4 linked regions of the Saccharomyces cerevisiae S288C genome follow. The protein of the gene in region 3 binds, or shares a complex with, the protein of the main gene of each other region. Each region holds a gene or a part of one and is shown on either strand. Other genes may lie near its edges. The genes, in order: NUP188, SEH1, NUP100 and NUP49.

What was found.
Region 1: NUP100 (region 3) and NUP188 share a complex: the UniProt entries of both Saccharomyces cerevisiae proteins name them as parts of the nuclear pore complex.
Region 2: NUP100 (region 3) and SEH1 share a complex: the UniProt entries of both Saccharomyces cerevisiae proteins name them as parts of the nuclear pore complex.
Region 4: NUP100 (region 3) and NUP49 share a complex: the UniProt entries of both Saccharomyces cerevisiae proteins name them as parts of the nuclear pore complex.

The regions. Positions count from the first base shown.
Region 1 is NC_001145.3:62,038-69,267, forward strand, and holds NUP188 (Nup188p), read right to left. Parts: upstream 5,513-7,230; coding exon 545-5,512; downstream 1-544. Other genes in the region: MDM1 (Mdm1p), read right to left, coding at 1-285; CAC2 (Cac2p), read left to right, coding at 6,257-7,230. UniProt on the Saccharomyces cerevisiae protein: Functions as a component of the nuclear pore complex (NPC).
Region 2 is NC_001139.9:311,443-314,802, reverse strand, and holds SEH1 (Seh1p), read right to left. Parts: upstream 1,570-3,360; coding exon 520-1,569; downstream 1-519. Other genes in the region: ribosome biogenesis GTPase LSG1, read right to left, coding at 1-172; YGK1 (5'-deoxynucleotidase), read right to left, coding at 1,963-2,610; 60S ribosomal protein uL15 RPL28, read right to left, coding at 2,876-3,276. UniProt on the Saccharomyces cerevisiae protein: Functions as a component of the nuclear pore complex (NPC).
Region 3 is NC_001143.9:308,518-313,594, forward strand, and holds NUP100 (FG-nucleoporin NUP100), read left to right. Parts: upstream 1-1,681; coding exon 1,682-4,561; downstream 4,562-5,077. Other genes in the region: YKL068W-A (uncharacterized protein), read left to right, coding at 689-925. UniProt on the Saccharomyces cerevisiae protein: Functions as a component of the nuclear pore complex (NPC).
Region 4 is NC_001139.9:179,193-182,676, reverse strand, and holds NUP49 (FG-nucleoporin NUP49), read right to left. Parts: upstream 1,978-3,484; coding exon 559-1,977; downstream 1-558. Other genes in the region: RNA-dependent ATPase ROK1, read right to left, coding at 1-287; chromatin-binding exonuclease XRN1, read left to right, coding at 2,564-3,484. UniProt on the Saccharomyces cerevisiae protein: Functions as a component of the nuclear pore complex (NPC).

The sequences.
Region 1 (7,230 bases), on a different chromosome or scaffold from region 3:
AATACTCTCTAATTCTTTCCCAATTTGCGCGTTCCCATCTTGTATTAAACCCTCGACAGACTTCAATTCTTTATCAACATCCACAGTATTCGAACTTTCCGGTACGATATCAACAAATCTTGGCTGAGGTTTCGGTAAATCAGGCAAGGATTTGAAGAATACGAAGTACGCAAAGATGCAGACATTAAGAAAGAACCCCAGCGAAAAAGTGATTACCGACCATTGTATCATTGATATTAAGTAAAACAAAACTAAAATCAATCGAAACTGTGGAAACTTAGGCATACGATATCATATCAGAAGGCACAAACACGCGCACTTATGGCGCTTTCAAAGCATGAGAGTCTTCGGTTAATTTACTTATCTTATTGTTTACATATTTTTGAAGTTCGTAAGGCGATGAAAAAAAAAAGTACACAATGGATAGAACTGGGATGGAAAAAGCTCATACAGTCGCAGTCCGCAGTATAGCAACAAAGGGCCACCCTTGCACTTGCACTGTTCATTATTATATTATGTAGCTTTACATAACCTGCAAAATAAGTTAAACGTCCTTAAATAGTGAATCTTGTAATGCTTTAATGTCTCTGCTGATACCCTTGACGAACTCCAATCTGCTTGATTCATCCTCCAACTGCTGTTGCTCTTCTAAAGTTGTAGGTATTATTCTTGAATTCAAGTATTTTGGATGTGTTAGAAACTTGCTTAATGCAGCGCTTAACCTTTTTTTATCATGTTCAGAATCTAGACCAATAACCAATTCTACAGCTTCTTGTTGATCATCAGAGTTTTTAGGCTGAATAAACAATTCTTGGTAATTTAGCAAGTTTAGCATTTTTTGCAATAAAACCAATTGATTCGTTTCCTTTATCAACGAACTTGACACTGCTAACTTGTTGTCACCCCAGTTATATATTGTAGATTTTATTTGTTTTCCAAAATATGAAACAAATAGGCACGTCTCAGGTAAAACCTTGATACCGAACTGACTTAATAGTAGTAGAACAATGGATAACAAACCATTGCTCCAAATGTTGTGCAATCTAGGCGAAAATTCAGGTTTTATATCACCTTGCTGTATTGCAACAGATAGTGGACTTTCCAATAGAACGCTATACAATCCACTGTTGATGAGTTTTGCAGCAATTGGCTCAATAGAACACAATTCGGAGATAAAGGTCAGAGTAATTTGCCCAAGAATTGGTTCATCGTTAATCCTTATCAAATGCGCGCTTGAATATAGGTTCAGTATAACTTTCAAAGTTCCTACTTCGTTTAGGGATGATGCTAGAATAACATTGAAGTTTTTAGAGGGATTCACATTGGTGATCTTCTTGAAGAGTGATAATAATAACAATAAATCCTGAGTATTATCCTCCAAGTTGACAATTTGGGTGGTGTGATCGGTGCTTAAACCCCTCGTGGAGCATTTATTGATCTGACATAATATCTCAGACAGTATCAAATAAACACCCTTACTAAACACTAATTCAAAAAATTCCAGTAGTTGATCAGATATTAATTCGATAAAACGATCTCCTGACGAGACTAACTCGAGAAGAACTAAGACAGATCTCAAAAGAGGTCTATAAAAGTTATTTTTTAGTGACTTACCAATATTTTTAATAAAGTCAATCTCACCAGATTTGAAAATTGTAAAAATCTTGTTCATCAATTCAATTATCTTTTCTTCCTTCAACAATTTTCCCGACAACTTGAACGAATATAAAATGTAAAACGACAACTCAATTCTTTCCAGATATATTTGGGTAAACATTTGTTTATCTGAACCAAAATCAATATTTAACTTGAGGAAATGCTCTACCAAGTCGACAAAACCATCATTTAACGGAACAGTGCTCCTCTTCACAAACGTGGTGATTAGTGCGCCCCATGCTTTTGCGGTAGATATTTCGTAATTGACATACTGCAAATTTAATGAAGCGTCTGTTATTTCCTCCTTAAAATTTGTCTGACTCTTACTTGGTTCGTTCCAACTACGGTCAGCTTTTAAAACTATATCTAATAACGGAATATCATAACCGAAATTCTCATTTTCGTTTATTCTGGATAATGGAATTTTTTGGAACGACTGAAGCTCTAAACTGGGCCATTTCTCTTTAAATTTTAAGTTTAATTCATCATGAAAAGTTTTATTGAACCCATCAATTTGGAAGAAATGATGAACTAATTCAAACAAGTCTTCCTGATTCAAAAAATTTAAAATTTCCGAGTTTGAATCAGTGGAGTTGTAAATACACAACGCAAATATTTCTACAATCCTTGAGATCAATTTGTATTTCTTAATCAAAGAAACAGTTTCGTCACGAGTCAAATTTTCCTTTTTCTGAAATAATTTTTTTGAGTCCTTCAACTTAGCCAATAAGGAATTCACAAATTTAGGATCTTTTATGAATATTTTAGAATTTGTCCAAGTGTTTAAAACATATGTTATCGTTTCTAATAACTTGCAACTTACTTCTTCAGGCGTTGAATCTAATAGTAAAGAATTCTTTTGCAAAACAGTTAATATAGAACTCTTTTTGTCTATGGAGGATTCGTCATTAATTTTTTTATTGGAGGCAAATTGACCTGTTAAGAAGAGGATAGATAACCCATCTTGTTTACTTTCTAATAGGGTAGTAAAAAAAATGTACAAACTTCGGAGAAGGTTCCAATCTTGCACTGGAGAGCTCAGGTCCGACAGGACTTCTTTCAAAAATGCCATTGACTTTGCTTCACCAAGGAAAGATAACAGAAATGGATAGTCGTCATTCCAAGGAGCCTCTACTAAATAGCTTAACAACTCTATGATCTGCACTTTGAAATGAACATAACTTGGTAGGGTATAAACGTCAACCAATTTTGATGAATTTATGAAAAGCAATTTTTCCAGGTTGCTTGGCTTTAAATCACGATTGCTACCTCGAATAGCGATCAAAAGCGTGCACAGCTTGAAGGAGTTATTCATTACCTTGCTATATAAATTACCCAAAATTTTGTCGCCTAAAATTTTTGTTGTGGTATTCAATGGTGAAATCAGAATATTCGTCAAAGTATTTGGAGCCAAATCAATGGAATCCATGGGAGTCAAAAATAACTGCAACAATTTGTTTGCTGACGAGGAAATGATTAACTGATCCTTTTGATGTGGATTTATGGTGAAAACGTCATGAAGTACATCATAAAAAATTAATGTCAAATGGAAGGCAATTTCGAATTTTTGTAAGAAGTTGTTGTACTTCCAGTTGTAATAACTCTCAAAGATATGAATTGCATGTAGAATCAACTTATTAATAATATCAATTTTACTTCTCTTGGAAATATGGATATTTTTCAATGAGAGAGATTCTCGAATAAAGACTTTTGTTAGCTTAAGCAATTGGATAGTGAATGTGTAATCCCCCGTAGATAATTCAACCGAACCGAGTATCATATTGGAAAGACCAGTCTTACCATATTTGTCTAACAAATCCGATTTGTTCAAGTAAGAAGAAACAAGATGAAGGTAATTCGGTGTCAGCATAGTCATAAATTCACAACATTGTACAATTGAGGTATAATCTTTTCTTTGTAGTGATATTTCAAAAATCTCGAAAATTACTTGGATAATCGACGCTCCATTTATGGTGCTGGCTGAAGTATCCAGAGAATTTGATAAATATGACAGAATTTCACTAGATTTCTCGATCGAGGTTTTCGGATCGACAACGTTAGTGACTAACTTTATTATGGATATCATCAATTCATGTTGTAAGTCATCCAGTTGTGTACCCTTTTCCATATATGAATGTAATAGATTTTGCAATATTCTACCCACCAAAGACCAACCATTGAATTTGTAAAGGAAAATAATCAAATTGGAAGTAGTTGGCGGCTGTTGTCCATTCTGTTGTTGTTGTTGTTGTTGTTGTTGTTTGATAGTAAGAATTTTTCCCTTTGTTGATTTTGGTATTGACAAGAGACAATTAGAGTTTTCGTTTTCTAAGGGTGGCGCCACTAGTAAATCAGACTTCAACTCTATCAAATCAGGCACTATAATATCGGAGGATGAAGAAGAGTTTGTTATTGTATCAGCAATTAAGTCATAATCCAAATCGTTCAAACTACTTTTGGTAACAGCAAATGAACATATATCTTTTAATTCAAAATTGGCAAACTCGGTATCAATTAAGGCTAAATTAATTAGCGGGATCAGTGATTCGTTCAATAGGGGCAATTTAGCCTTTATGATGCTCAATTTTTTCTCAAAAGTGTCATTAGTTAAGAAATTCTCAATGAACTGCTCTGGTGCCTTTGAAATTATCTTGGCGAAAACCCGGGAAGTAGATGCAGTTATAGGAATAAAATTTAAAGAAAACTCCAAAAATACTGTTATTACTGTGGTGTAAACAGGATCAAAGGATAGAATTTCTGAGAGAGTATTCAATTTTTGAAGAACATCATGTGATTCAGCAAACAGAGCAAATTTCGTTATGTCTGAATCATCAAATGATTCCGACGATTGTAATGCTCGCCTATAATAAAGTATAAATGACCAGGAGTAATGAATCATTGGATGGAAAATGGGGTCCTCGTTGACGATATTGGTTGCTACATCATTCTCTAGAGCGCTATTGACGGTGTCGAAAGTTTCTGTATCCATGTACAAAGGTGACTGAATATCAAATTGCGCGATTGAAGTGTTCAGTCCAAGTATCAATATAGTTGTGATAGTAAATAAAGATGAAATCCTGGAAATAAGCGTTTCTGAGAGGTAACTGAGGTCTTGGAAATTCTGAAACTTGTACAATTGTAGTGACGAGGTATCTATACTCTTGTCTGTTGAATTTATATTTCTGCAAAATTCAACAAATTGATTTTGATACTGTAGAAACCATTGATTGACGATATCTACTGGTACTTTTGTGTTGAGGATCATTAAATTCAAAATTTGTAATATCTGCAAGATAAACTTCAAATCAGAAAATTTTTTTAACTGCACCAATGAGACAATTGTGAACATGTCTTGATCGTTATTATAATCATGTGCTAAAGATGAAGCTGTAATAATGTCGTAGTTCTGGATTACAGATGATATTATAGAAATCAATTTCCCCACTACATTGAATCTATCGTTGTCAATAAATGAATATGTCTCGAGGTCGATGTCAGGGTTAACGAGAAGTGAGTATACTATATGAAGTCTAGATGATCTCTCAGACATAAAGAATTCTACAGCATGAGAAAGGTCCTCAGATTGAGCAAAGAATGGATCATTATCGACGTTTATTTGCAATAAGTTTGCAATTGTAGAGCGTAACTTGTTATGATCGCCGGAAGAAGTTACATTCTGCCTTATTGTGTTCAGACTCTCGATAAGATTTGTCTTGTTAGCTTTCAAAAACTGTCTTATTTGGGCCAATTGCTTGGCATCCACAGCGGATACATCAGCAGCAGCATCGTTCATAAAATTAGCAACATGAGTGAAGGTCAATTGTGGAGAGGAATTGCCAAATGAAGGTGTAGCCATGGCTGATGGGGTCCTTTTTTTAGCGGTGGAAAGGGTTATCTCTTTATTTGTGTTTCTGTTCGAATATTAAAGATGTCTCAAAGTATTCATTTCAAGAAGAAAATTTTTGGTATTACAAAATATTCTTACCCGGAATATATACATATATACCTTAACTACAAGCAGGAGCCGGCTTTCTGGCAAGGAGGGAGAAGACATAGATTGTTTGCGTATATATGTGGGAATAGCGTCCAAGCACGCCCGTGGCTGAGGGAGCACCACGATCGTTCGGTGTACTTGACACCTCTATATGGTATGTTCTTCCCTGATATTGATATCAGCACAATTACGGCTCTAAGAAACGATGAATATAAAAAACGTTAATTAGGAATTTGACATATGTGCTAGTATTCGGGCCCCTGAGCAAGTTTGTGCGCACGACGCCTGTCCGTTGCTGCACATGCTTGCGTGGGGCCTTTTTGTCGTGTTTTTATTTAGGGACTGTTATCGAAGGAATAGATTTCTGTGGTGAAAAGTAGAAAACTACTAGCTTTTATAGACGGTGGGGGAGAAAAAGGAAAATTAGAATTGAAAAAAATTTGAAAAAATATGAAAATGTGAAAAGGACGCCTTATTTCCTTGGGTTGCCCGGCGAACACGTTAGTTAACTCGCTGTCTAACTGATGGGCTATTATTATAGCGTTATAGTACGTATCAGAATTTAAAAGAAGGAGGCAGAAAAGCTTAGAGCAAAGGGGCAGGACAATGGAAGCTTCACATTTGCAAATCTACTGGCATGATTCACAACCCGTTTACTCGCTCACATTCCAAAAGAACAGTGCGAACGACAAGCTTTTCACCGCTGGTGGTGATAACAAGGTTAGGATATGGAAGTTGAACAGAGATGAAAACGGACAAAATGGGGGGGTGCGTAAGATTGAAAGCCTTGACTTTCTTGGCTCGCTGACGCATCACGAACAGGCCATAAATGTAATCCGATTCAACTCGAAGGGTGACGTACTGGCGTCTGCGGGCGATGACGGCCAAGTGCTGCTATGGAAGCAAGAAGATCCAAATACACAGCAAGAATCTGTGGTCAGACCATTCGGAATGGATGCGGAGACTAGTGAAGCAGACGAGAACAAGGAGAAATGGGTTGTGTGGAAACGGCTGCGTGGTGGTAGCGGTGCTACTGCGGCGGCAGAGATTTACGATCTAGCGTGGTCACCTGATAACAGGAACATAGTGGTGGCATGTATGGACAATTCGATACGACTGTTCGATGTTGGAGCTGGGATGCTGGTATGCGGCCAGTCGGATCATGGTCACTACGTCCAAGGTGTTGCATGGGACCCATTAAATCAGTTTATTCTCTCACAGTCTGCGGACCGGTCTCTGCATGTATATGGAGTCATTCTTTCATCTGCAGGAGTGGTTACAGGGCTGAAACTTAGAAGTAAGATTGCCAAGGCAGAACTGCCTTGTCCAGGTGATGTCCTGAGGACAAATTACCTTTTTCACAACGAGACGCTACCTTCATTCTTTAGGCGATGCAGCATATCGCCTTGTGGTGGTTTGGTCGTAATTCCCAGTGGTGTGTATAAGGTGGCTGGTGATGAAGTCGCGAACTGCGTATACGTGTATACTAGATCTGGAATACTGAACAGCGCTGGTGGCGTTAAAAACCGGCCTGCGATTAGAATCCCATCTTTGAAGAAACCAGCGCTGATGGCGGCTTT
Region 2 (3,360 bases), on a different chromosome or scaffold from region 3:
GCTTATCGGTAGTGAACCTCATTTCACCATCAGGTAAATACTCGATGGCATTTTCTTTTTGACGTGCATATTTAATAGCTCTGCCTAATTCAAGCTTATTTTTATTTTTACGGTGGGTAGGTTTTGGCCCTTTTGGCGCCTTCCATTTCTTGGGAGCTTCTTTTGGTGGCATAGTTGGTGGGGGTCCTCAATATCAGATTTAGTTTTGTGTTTAAAAGAAGTTGGCTTATAAGCTCATCACCTCTTTATTAAGTAGTAGAATGCATTTTCATTGACAAATTTTTTAATCTCGGCATTGAAAAATTTCCAGGCGAAAAGGCGAGGGAAGGGAAGCTTGATATAATTCGAAAGAATACCCAATATCAAGAATAATAATATCATTTGATGTAATATCATTATATTTGTAAGAGCTTTTTAAAAGCATCATCTTTCTTGATTCATCTGTTGCCTCGTATTATACAGAATAATGCACACGTATAAAGTACCAATATATAATGTTATGTATACATATATTCTTATTTATTGTTGGGCAGTAATTACTGACATACACTTAAATTCATTTGAATAAGTGGCTTTCCATAAACGTACCTTCCCATCATCCCCAGCACTGCTTAAGATTGTACCCGTTAAATTCCAAGACACGGACCAAACTTCGCCATTATGGTCATCATGCTCGCTTAGAAGTTCAACTTGCAAGTTTGATTGTAGCTCAGCTTTCTCTTCGGTATTTGAGTCTGATCTGCCCTGTGCATCCATGTCAACATCAGCACTATTATCAAACATATTTGAGTTAGTTAAAGACTCCTCTGAGGCCAGGGGACTTAGTTTTTCTGTGATTTTGAAAATTCTAATTCTACCATCTTTGCAACCTGTTGCAATGAGTTGATACCATCTACCAATGGAAGGAGCCCAGCTGATACTTCTTATTAAACTTTTATGACCGGGAAGTTTTGCTGCAACGTGAAGTTTACCGTCTTTACCCCTTTGGTATATAATCGCTTGTTCCAATGCAGAGACTGCGAGCTTTTCAGGAGAAAATCTCGAAGGACACCAAGAGAGACAAAAATCAGACTGTAAATGATTTGCTGGTGGTATAGATAGCACTTTCATCTCAGAAGTCAGTGTCCATGACCTTAGGTCAGAAGGTTCTAAGGCATCATAAAGTCTGAGGATTCCATCGTTACCCAAACAAGCTAATTTTAAGCCCAAATGCGCTGGCGCAAATTTTACACTATAAAGTGATCCTTTGGAATCATTCAGGGTACACAGCTTGTTCCAACGACGGCCAGAGCATTCTTCTTGGTCGGGATCTTCTTCCCATAATTTTACCGTCTTATCGTAAGAGGCTGAAGCAATGATGCGCCCATATTCTGGACTGGCCCAATCAATGGCCACGATACTACTGTCGTGAGCTCTCCATGAGTCACTGAGTTCCCAATTACTCGTGTCCTTGTCTAATTTAAAAACTTTAATATGTTGATCAGAAGAGCATGTTGCCACATGTCTTCCGTAAAAGTCATAAACGACATCATGAACTAAATCATCATGCCCACTATCAAATGGTTGCATATTCAGAAATATTATTGGGTCGTTCTTCTTCTTCCTTAGTATCTCTTCAGAAGGGAAACCTTGTTTATAATTTGGTTTACTTGTCTCTATTCAGTTCATGATTTTTTCCATCGTTTTGCCGAAGACTTAACTAACAATAAATAAGAGAAACAGATATATTAAAACTTGGTTGATAATGCAGCACGCACATTCAATCGCGAATAATATACAAAAGATTATTTCTAAAGTTACATATAATGCACACCGGGTGCTGGAAGTATAATACATGCAAAATAAAATGGGCACTATCTCGTTGAAAAGCATCAAGATGTTATTATAAATGATACGCACCACCAGGTGAAGGTTTGAGAAAAGAAAAAAAAGCACTAACTTTTCTTTCAAAAGGCCACATTATTACTCCTTCAAACTGTCGAAAAAGGCTTGTCGATCTTCCAGTAAAGATTGTGTCCATTTTTTAACTTCATCAGTTTTTATATCATTGATGGCTCCCAAAAATTGTTTCAAATCCTTCTTGCCATTATACTTTTGTTCGTACTCAAAACATTGAACCAACATTTCATACTTATCAATATCTTTGACATATCTTCCTTCCAAACAGGTCTGCTTTTCGTATGCTAACCAGTCATCAAGAATTTCCCTAGATGCGCTTTCACTGCAGGGCCTTATTATGCTTTCACAGAGATACTTGACAGTTTCAAATTCTCTGCGATGTTTCTCTTCCTTTGTCATTGGGTCATTAGGTGTAATATCACCAACTAATGACTCCGCAAAATCGTGAACAAGTGCGATTCTGATACATTTGTTACGATCAACATTCTTGTCCGTAATCAGCATGGTAGTTAAACCCATTCTGTACATATGGTCAGATATACTTTCGCATGGGTCAATACCATGGTCAACCCAACCAGTTCTTCTTTGCGTTTTCAAAAGTTGTATAATATTCAAAAACGCTAACTGATAATTTGGGTGAGGTTTCGAAAGAATTGCCAAAATCTCCCTAGGTATATTATCTTCTGGCTTCCAGATGTTAACTGCAGTCATTTTGTTTTTCCTGGTCTTTACCTCGAATAGGTTTTCTTGTTTTGTTATTTGTTTTCTTTTTGGACCCTATGTTTATATATGGATTTTGAAAATCTTTTAAAAAAGCGATAAAAGCGTTGGGATCTGCCACTGGTAACTTCAAAATAGACAAGACGAAAAAACGGTGAAAATGGGTGATAGAAATAATACAGAAGTAGATGTTGAATTAGATTAAACTGAAGATATATAATTTATTGGAAAATACATAGAGTTTTTGTTGATGCGCTTAAGCGATCAATTCAACAACACCACCAGCAGCTCTGATTTTTTCTTCAGCCAACTTGGAGACGAATCTAGCTTTGACGATAACTGGAACATTTGGAATTCTACCCTTACCCAAGATCTTACCGTAACCGGCTGCCAAAGTGTCAATAACTGGAGCAGTTTCCTTAGAAGCAGATTTCAAGTATTGGTCTCTCTTGTCTTCTGGGATCAATGTCCACAATTTGTCCAAGTTCAAGACTGGCTTCCAGAAATGAGCTTGTTGCTTGTGGAAGTATCTCATACCAACCTTACCGAAATAACCTGGATGGTATTTATCCATGTTAATTCTGTGGTGATGTTGACCACCGGCCATACCTCTACCACCGGGGTGCTTTCTGTGCTTACCGATACGACCTTTACCGGCTGTACAAAAAAAATATTGTAATGAAATACAATTTTTAAATCGTTAGTAAAACAGGTTTTCAACTGGACATTTTATCGAAACAA
Region 3 (5,077 bases):
GGAAATGTTGAAAAAAGAGCCTAAAAATAGGCCTTATCGAACAACATTAAACTAATAATCTTCTGGATGCGATAGTCTTACTTGATAAAAATCATTGGCGATATTGTGTTACCTGGATTATCAAGCTCGCCACTAAAGGTGTCTGGATCCTTACTCAATACAAAGTCCAAGGAAAGGTGTGCCACAGGAAGAGGTAGCATCCCTTTATTTCTTTTCAAGGAAAGAAGCATTTTCAATCACATATGTATACAATAGTCTTCCGTGTGGCTGCACCGCACCACCTTGCAGGTCCCGTGTATGTAGGAGTCGCATGCGAATAAAAAATTGAGAAAGATCATGGGGTTTTTTGTTCACGCGGGCCGCAGTTGTGGCTCCTCTGTCACTTTTTTGCCCTCTGCTAAGGGCAAAAAAGAAAAAAAAACGCAACGAGAAAATTAAAAGTGTGGCATTTCGACATCTATCGCCATTCGTGCGGCCATTTCTCGAAACAACGCTAAACTTTTGTTTCGACTGTGAGGCCCTAGAACAGTTCGATTCTGATGTAGGCAATGGAAGAAACAATCATATATAACTACAGAACCTAATGTTACATGCTTGCATCTCTCAGCTCCCGCGAATTTTCAAGTGAGACTTAATGGTAGCCATCTAGTAACTCATAAATCAACGACATTATATATCATCAACTACAATGCAGGCAAACCATTCCGTCAGTTACCTTTACGAATCAAGTACTTCAAAGAGGTCAAATGGGCTCTTTTCTCAAACACAAAAGCAAGGAAGTTTTCAAAAAGCTTTAAGTCAAACTCAGGAAGAAATAGAAGATGAAGACCTGATGGTAGACCTCAACACAGGATCTTTAACTCCCGTTAAGTTAAAATATTGGACTCAAATGAGTGCTATGACGGAAAAATTTGGTAAACTGTGAGACCAATTTTGGCGGTAATTTCGTTTAGCTGTTTTATTTTCACATTTTTAATTGTCAATGCTGGAGGTTGTTAAAGTTTGGCTAGCTGTTCTGAACAATCCTTGTATACCGGTGAGACTTTTTGTTATAGATATTGGCGATATTCATTTTTTAGGAAGGTGTTTTTATAGATTTTTCAATTTTTTTTGTGTAGATGCATGTTTTGATTACTTATGCATAGTACGAATTTTTAGTTTATTAAGCTATAGAGGTTTTTTTTTTTTTCACCTCTTTACCACAAATTTAATAGCTATTGTGTAGAATAACTTTTAATGGAAAACATTTGCAGTATTTTAGTATTTTTCTACCTGTTTATTGCAAGTAAGGGCAGCATTATCCTGATAGGAGTAGAGGTTAACCGCACATCGGAATGAGACTTCTCCAAGAACGTTCTCAAAGTAAAACATTTAGCATTAGGAAATTTCTTTGGTCGATTATTAGACAAAGATTAGATTGTATTATGTTCTGATGCTTAGTTAGAACGGAAAGTGTTACCCATCTTGCAATCACCGTGACACCTTAAATATTTGCCGTAAGCGAAGAAAAAAAGCATGAAAAAAAAAAGCATATTTATGCTGAAGTCATCTACAAATGACCACCGCTTTTGGACCTGAAGAGGAGAAGAAAATAACATATCGTAGAACAGTCTTTGTTAACCAAAATATTTTAGCTTTGATTCCGGACTATTAGTACATTGAATTTTTTCAGGTACTAACAATGTTTGGCAACAATAGACCAATGTTTGGAGGGAGCAACCTTTCCTTTGGATCAAATACGTCATCCTTCGGTGGGCAACAATCGCAACAACCAAACTCTCTTTTTGGAAATAGCAATAACAACAACAATTCCACCAGTAACAATGCCCAATCAGGATTTGGTGGATTCACTTCTGCCGCTGGCAGTAATAGTAACAGTTTATTTGGAAATAACAATACTCAAAATAATGGGGCATTTGGCCAGTCAATGGGTGCCACCCAAAACTCACCATTTGGGTCGTTAAACTCCTCAAATGCCAGTAATGGGAACACTTTTGGAGGATCCAGTTCAATGGGTTCTTTTGGTGGTAATACCAATAATGCATTTAATAATAACAGTAACAGTACCAATTCCCCGTTTGGTTTCAATAAACCGAATACAGGAGGGACCTTGTTTGGTTCGCAGAATAATAATAGTGCAGGTACTTCTAGTTTATTTGGCGGCCAAAGTACAAGTACCACTGGCACATTCGGAAACACCGGAAGTAGTTTCGGAACAGGCTTAAATGGCAACGGCTCTAACATATTTGGGGCAGGGAACAACTCACAAAGCAATACTACCGGCAGCTTGTTTGGCAACCAACAATCTTCAGCGTTTGGGACAAATAATCAACAAGGAAGTCTATTTGGACAGCAATCTCAAAACACCAATAATGCGTTTGGTAATCAAAATCAGCTGGGGGGCAGTTCCTTCGGATCAAAACCAGTTGGTTCAGGGTCGCTGTTTGGCCAGAGCAACAACACTTTAGGTAATACAACCAATAATAGAAATGGATTGTTTGGTCAAATGAATTCCAGTAACCAAGGCAGTTCTAACAGTGGATTGTTTGGACAAAACTCGATGAACAGCAGCACTCAAGGGGTATTTGGACAAAACAATAATCAAATGCAAATTAATGGCAATAACAACAACAGTTTATTTGGAAAGGCAAACACCTTTTCAAATTCCGCATCAGGAGGTTTATTTGGCCAAAATAATCAACAGCAAGGGTCCGGGCTGTTTGGTCAAAATTCTCAGACAAGCGGTAGTAGTGGACTTTTTGGGCAGAATAATCAGAAACAGCCCAATACTTTTACCCAATCTAATACAGGAATAGGTCTCTTTGGACAGAACAACAACCAGCAACAACAATCTACAGGTTTGTTTGGAGCCAAACCAGCAGGTACCACAGGATCTCTTTTCGGTGGTAATTCATCAACCCAGCCTAACTCTCTTTTCGGTACTACCAATGTACCTACCTCTAATACACAGTCACAACAAGGAAATAGTCTTTTTGGTGCCACGAAGCTGACCAACATGCCCTTTGGAGGAAATCCCACTGCAAACCAGTCAGGGAGTGGAAACAGTCTATTCGGAACTAAACCTGCCTCCACTACCGGCTCATTATTTGGAAACAACACAGCTTCTACGACAGTACCTTCCACGAATGGATTGTTTGGTAACAACGCTAACAATTCAACTAGCACTACGAATACGGGACTTTTCGGTGCAAAGCCTGATTCTCAGTCCAAACCTGCATTAGGGGGAGGGTTATTCGGCAATTCAAACTCGAATTCTTCCACAATCGGCCAAAACAAACCAGTTTTTGGAGGCACAACCCAAAATACAGGACTCTTTGGCGCCACCGGCACGAACTCTTCAGCAGTTGGTTCAACTGGTAAACTTTTTGGCCAGAATAATAATACGCTTAATGTTGGTACACAAAATGTACCACCTGTGAACAATACCACCCAAAACGCCCTTTTGGGTACAACGGCAGTTCCTTCCCTACAACAAGCCCCAGTAACTAATGAACAGCTTTTTTCCAAAATATCAATCCCTAACTCTATTACAAATCCAGTTAAAGCAACAACTTCAAAAGTGAACGCAGATATGAAAAGAAATAGTAGCCTCACGTCTGCCTATAGACTTGCCCCAAAGCCGTTATTTGCTCCCTCTTCGAATGGCGATGCTAAATTTCAAAAGTGGGGCAAGACACTGGAAAGAAGTGATAGAGGAAGCAGTACCAGCAATTCTATTACGGACCCAGAATCAAGCTATCTAAATTCAAACGACTTGTTGTTTGATCCAGATAGAAGATATTTGAAACATCTGGTGATTAAAAATAATAAGAACTTAAATGTCATTAACCATAATGATGATGAAGCAAGCAAAGTTAAATTAGTGACGTTTACAACAGAATCAGCTTCAAAAGATGACCAAGCCTCATCAAGCATTGCTGCTTCAAAATTAACTGAAAAAGCACATTCTCCTCAGACTGACCTAAAAGATGATCATGATGAAAGCACTCCTGATCCTCAATCGAAATCTCCAAATGGTTCCACCTCTATACCAATGATTGAGAATGAAAAGATTAGCAGCAAAGTTCCCGGCCTATTGAGCAACGACGTTACCTTTTTCAAGAATAACTACTACATTTCACCTTCCATAGAAACGCTTGGCAATAAGTCATTAATTGAACTTCGTAAAATAAACAACCTAGTCATTGGTCACAGAAATTATGGTAAAGTCGAGTTTCTGGAGCCCGTTGATTTGTTGAATACTCCTTTGGATACTTTATGCGGGGATCTTGTCACCTTTGGACCAAAATCATGTTCAATATATGAAAACTGTTCCATAAAGCCAGAAAAGGGCGAAGGCATTAATGTACGTTGTAGAGTGACTTTATATTCCTGTTTTCCTATTGACAAAGAAACAAGGAAACCTATAAAGAATATAACACATCCTCTACTGAAAAGAAGTATAGCCAAACTAAAAGAAAACCCAGTGTACAAGTTTGAAAGCTATGACCCCGTAACAGGCACCTATAGTTACACCATAGATCACCCAGTTTTAACTTAAACCGGAATAATTTTTGTAGAGAATCCTTGTATCGTCTAAGTAGTCTAGATGTTCAGCTGATAGATTTTCGTTGTATTGTATATATAATAATTGTCGGAAAACAAAAATACTTAATTGTAATTGTGTGACCGAAAATGCCTGATCAACAGCCATGGCACATTTGAATGGGATTTTGAGGAGACAAAAATGAAGAGGTTCTATAACCTTTGTAGAAGAACATTGACCTCTTTTCAATGAAGGTTGGTGGCATCGCCAGATGCAGAAAGGTTGTCTCATGAAATAAAAACGGACAGACCATGAAGGCTAAAGGAAAAAAATAAAATGCCATCTCCTAGAATCGAACCAGGGTTTCATCGGCCACAACGATGTGTACTAACCACTATACTAAGATGGCAAACAACTGTGAAGTTTTTGGTTACATCTGCACATCTGGTTGAATAAATATTATGTACTCTTTGCTTTTTTATGTTAAACCTACAAGTGGTGACTGTAAAGAAGCATTACAACGTAGAACTG
Region 4 (3,484 bases), on a different chromosome or scaffold from region 3:
TCAACGGTATTGGTAATCACTGGTTTTATCAGACCATCATCATTGCCGCTCTTCTCCTCTTTGTTTGGAGAATCGTTTTCGGTTGTCTTCTCTCTATCATCCTCTACCTTGCTAATGATTCTCTTGTTTCGAAAGAAATCAAGTTCTTTCACGATCTGGCTTTCATTATTATCTTCCTTATGATTCTCATCATTTCCATTTATAACGCTGTAATCTGCTGCCTTAGCCTTTGGGCCTGACTCTTTCTTCACGGAAGCTCCTCTAGTTAATACTCTAAAAATATCCATGGTGGCTTGCCTGTTCGATAACTTCTACTATCGTATGTACCTTTTTGCAGGTAATATCTCTCAATTGAAGATGTCAATATTACTTTTTTTCCTTCCCATCTCATCGCAAAAAATTTTTCACGAAGAAAAGTTAGTTCGGCCTCTAAGACGCCATTATGGTGACTGAAAAACTGTGATTGATGTTATATTCTATTGCATTTAGTATAAATTACATTTGTACAAGACATTTGTACTTGTTATACGCACTATATAAACTTTCAGGGCGATTTACTCATATGCTCAATGATGCCAGTGTTTTCGTTTTTTGATGTAACACGGCGATTCTCTCAGCGATATCCATAAACAGTGTGAATTCCTCAATGACAGTAGAGACTATGGCAGCTAAGCCTGTCTTCAACTGCAGTAGGTTCTCTGCTTCGGATGAACCTAGATCTGCTGTGATAGCTGTAGAATTAGGGTTATTTGGGGCGCCAAATAAATCTGTATCAATGCCATTTACCGCAGTTTCTATATCAGAGAGAATACGGCAGTAATCCTCTAACTTCTTCTCGTAGAGATGAATTTTCTTTTGAAAGAATTTGTCTAAGTCATTAGAAGAAATTTTGCTTCCCGGAGTTAATAGTTGCTGTAAGAGCACCGAAAAAGTTTGCGTGTCTAGAAGGTCCTCATCGATTAGCGATTTAAATGAGGATATTTTCTTCAAATCTTGCTTTAAATATTGACTTGTTGCAGATTCTGACTTCAGTAGGTATGCAACATCACGAGGAATGGAATCTATCAATTCATCATGATCGATTGTATCGGCCTTCAAATGGTGCGAGATCTGCACTTGTTTTTGAATATATTGATCTAGTTGTTCAATTTCTTGACGTATTTGAGGTGGTAATTCGGAAATCCGTGTCATTGGGGTAATAGGGAGCTGAGATAGATTTTGCAATGCGCACTGCATTTGTGGTTGTTGCTGCAGTTGCTGCTGCTGATTACCAAATAGCCCGCCTGACGCACTCATGATGTTGTTACTATTATTGTTATTGTTGTTGTTATTTGATGAACCAAACAAAGACGTTGCTCCTGTCGGTTTGGAGCCAAATAACCCTCCACCAGTGGTCGTATTACCTGCATTATTGCCGAATAGAGATGTACCAGCTGGTTTTGCACCAAACATGCCCTGGTTCTGCGCAGGGGCCGAAGAGGTGCTTGTATTACCGAACAAAGAAGTGCCTCCTGCAGGTTTAGAGCCAAATAGTCCAGCGCTTGCATTATTCATGCCACTACTACTATTATTGATATTATTAGTGTTATTATTACCAAACAAACCACGACTCGTCTGTGCATTGTTGGAACCAAACAAACTGCCAGAATTACTGTTCGAATTAGCGCCAAATAACCCGCCCCCAGTGTTCGCCGTATTGTTAGGTTTGTTACCGAAAAGGCCCCCTCCGGTGGTGGCGCTTCCTCCAAATGCATTTGTCTGAGATTGTTGTTGCTGCTGACCAAATGATGCACCTAATCCTCCTGTAGATCCGGCTGGTTTAGCGCCAAATAGTCCACCTGTACTTGGGCCGGTGTTTTGTCCAGTTTGAGTCCCACCAAACGAAAACCCAGTATTCGCGTTTCCAGTGCTAGCTCCGCTGGCCTGACCAAAGAGCCCACCTGCAGGTGTCGAAGATGCTTTATTTAATCCAAACATTGTGCCCACTACCCGTGAAAACCCTCTCAATTACTGTTTTTATCGTCTCATCACCTGATCAGTAACTATTCTCACGATTAATGGTCTTTTTCAACTACATTTATTTGAGAAAGCTGTAATACATTCCGTGTTGAGTGATATATACAACCTCCTTTGCTCGTCTTTTCGCCACCGCAGAGCAAGTAACAACAGAGACAAACAAGAAGAGGTTAGAAAGCAATTTAAGGAGTAGTTTAACGAGTACTGAAAACGTCAAACTAAGTACTTACGACTTCCAATTACCGGTTGTAAAGTTTATCTACGCAAATATAACAGTTGCAGCTTGCTTTTTTTTTCAGCAGCTCTTCCGTTATTATAAAATCTGTTTGGCGTTCGCACAAGCGAACCGATTCTTTTATTATTTTCTCTCTGCCTTTTATTTCCGTTCCTGTTAATAGTTTATTTTCTAAAGGATACTGTCTTCTTCCGTACTTATAATCGGGTTCACAATAAGCAATTGACTAATCCTAGGACGATTCGTGTACTATAAGGAGAAAAAAAATCAACACTTGTAACAACAGCAGCAACAAATATATATCAGTACGGTATGGGTATTCCAAAATTTTTCAGGTACATCTCAGAAAGATGGCCCATGATTTTACAGCTTATTGAGGGAACACAGATTCCTGAGTTTGATAACTTATACCTGGATATGAATTCGATTTTACATAATTGTACGCATGGTAACGACGATGATGTAACCAAGCGATTAACTGAAGAAGAGGTTTTTGCAAAAATCTGTACGTATATCGATCACCTTTTTCAAACAATCAAGCCCAAGAAGATTTTCTACATGGCTATTGATGGTGTGGCCCCTCGTGCCAAGATGAATCAACAAAGAGCTCGTAGATTCAGAACCGCTATGGATGCAGAAAAAGCCTTGAAGAAGGCTATTGAGAATGGTGACGAGATTCCTAAGGGTGAGCCATTTGATTCGAATTCTATTACTCCAGGTACGGAGTTTATGGCCAAATTGACCAAAAACTTACAATATTTTATTCACGACAAGATTTCTAACGATTCCAAATGGAGGGAAGTGCAAATCATATTTTCTGGCCATGAAGTTCCAGGTGAAGGTGAACACAAGATCATGAACTTTATAAGGCATTTAAAATCCCAAAAGGATTTCAACCAGAATACGAGACATTGTATTTACGGTCTTGACGCAGATTTGATTATGCTGGGTTTGTCTACTCATGGGCCACATTTTGCGTTATTGAGAGAAGAAGTGACATTTGGTAGAAGAAATAGTGAAAAAAAATCGCTTGAACATCAAAATTTCTACTTATTACATCTTTCTTTATTAAGAGAATACATGGAGTTGGAATTCAAAGAAATTGCCGATGAAATGCAATTTGAATACAATTTTGAACGTATTTTGGATGATTTTATTCTTGTCATGTTCGTCATTGGTAATGATTTCTTGCCCAATTTGCCAGATTTGCACCTTAACAAAGGAGCATTTCCC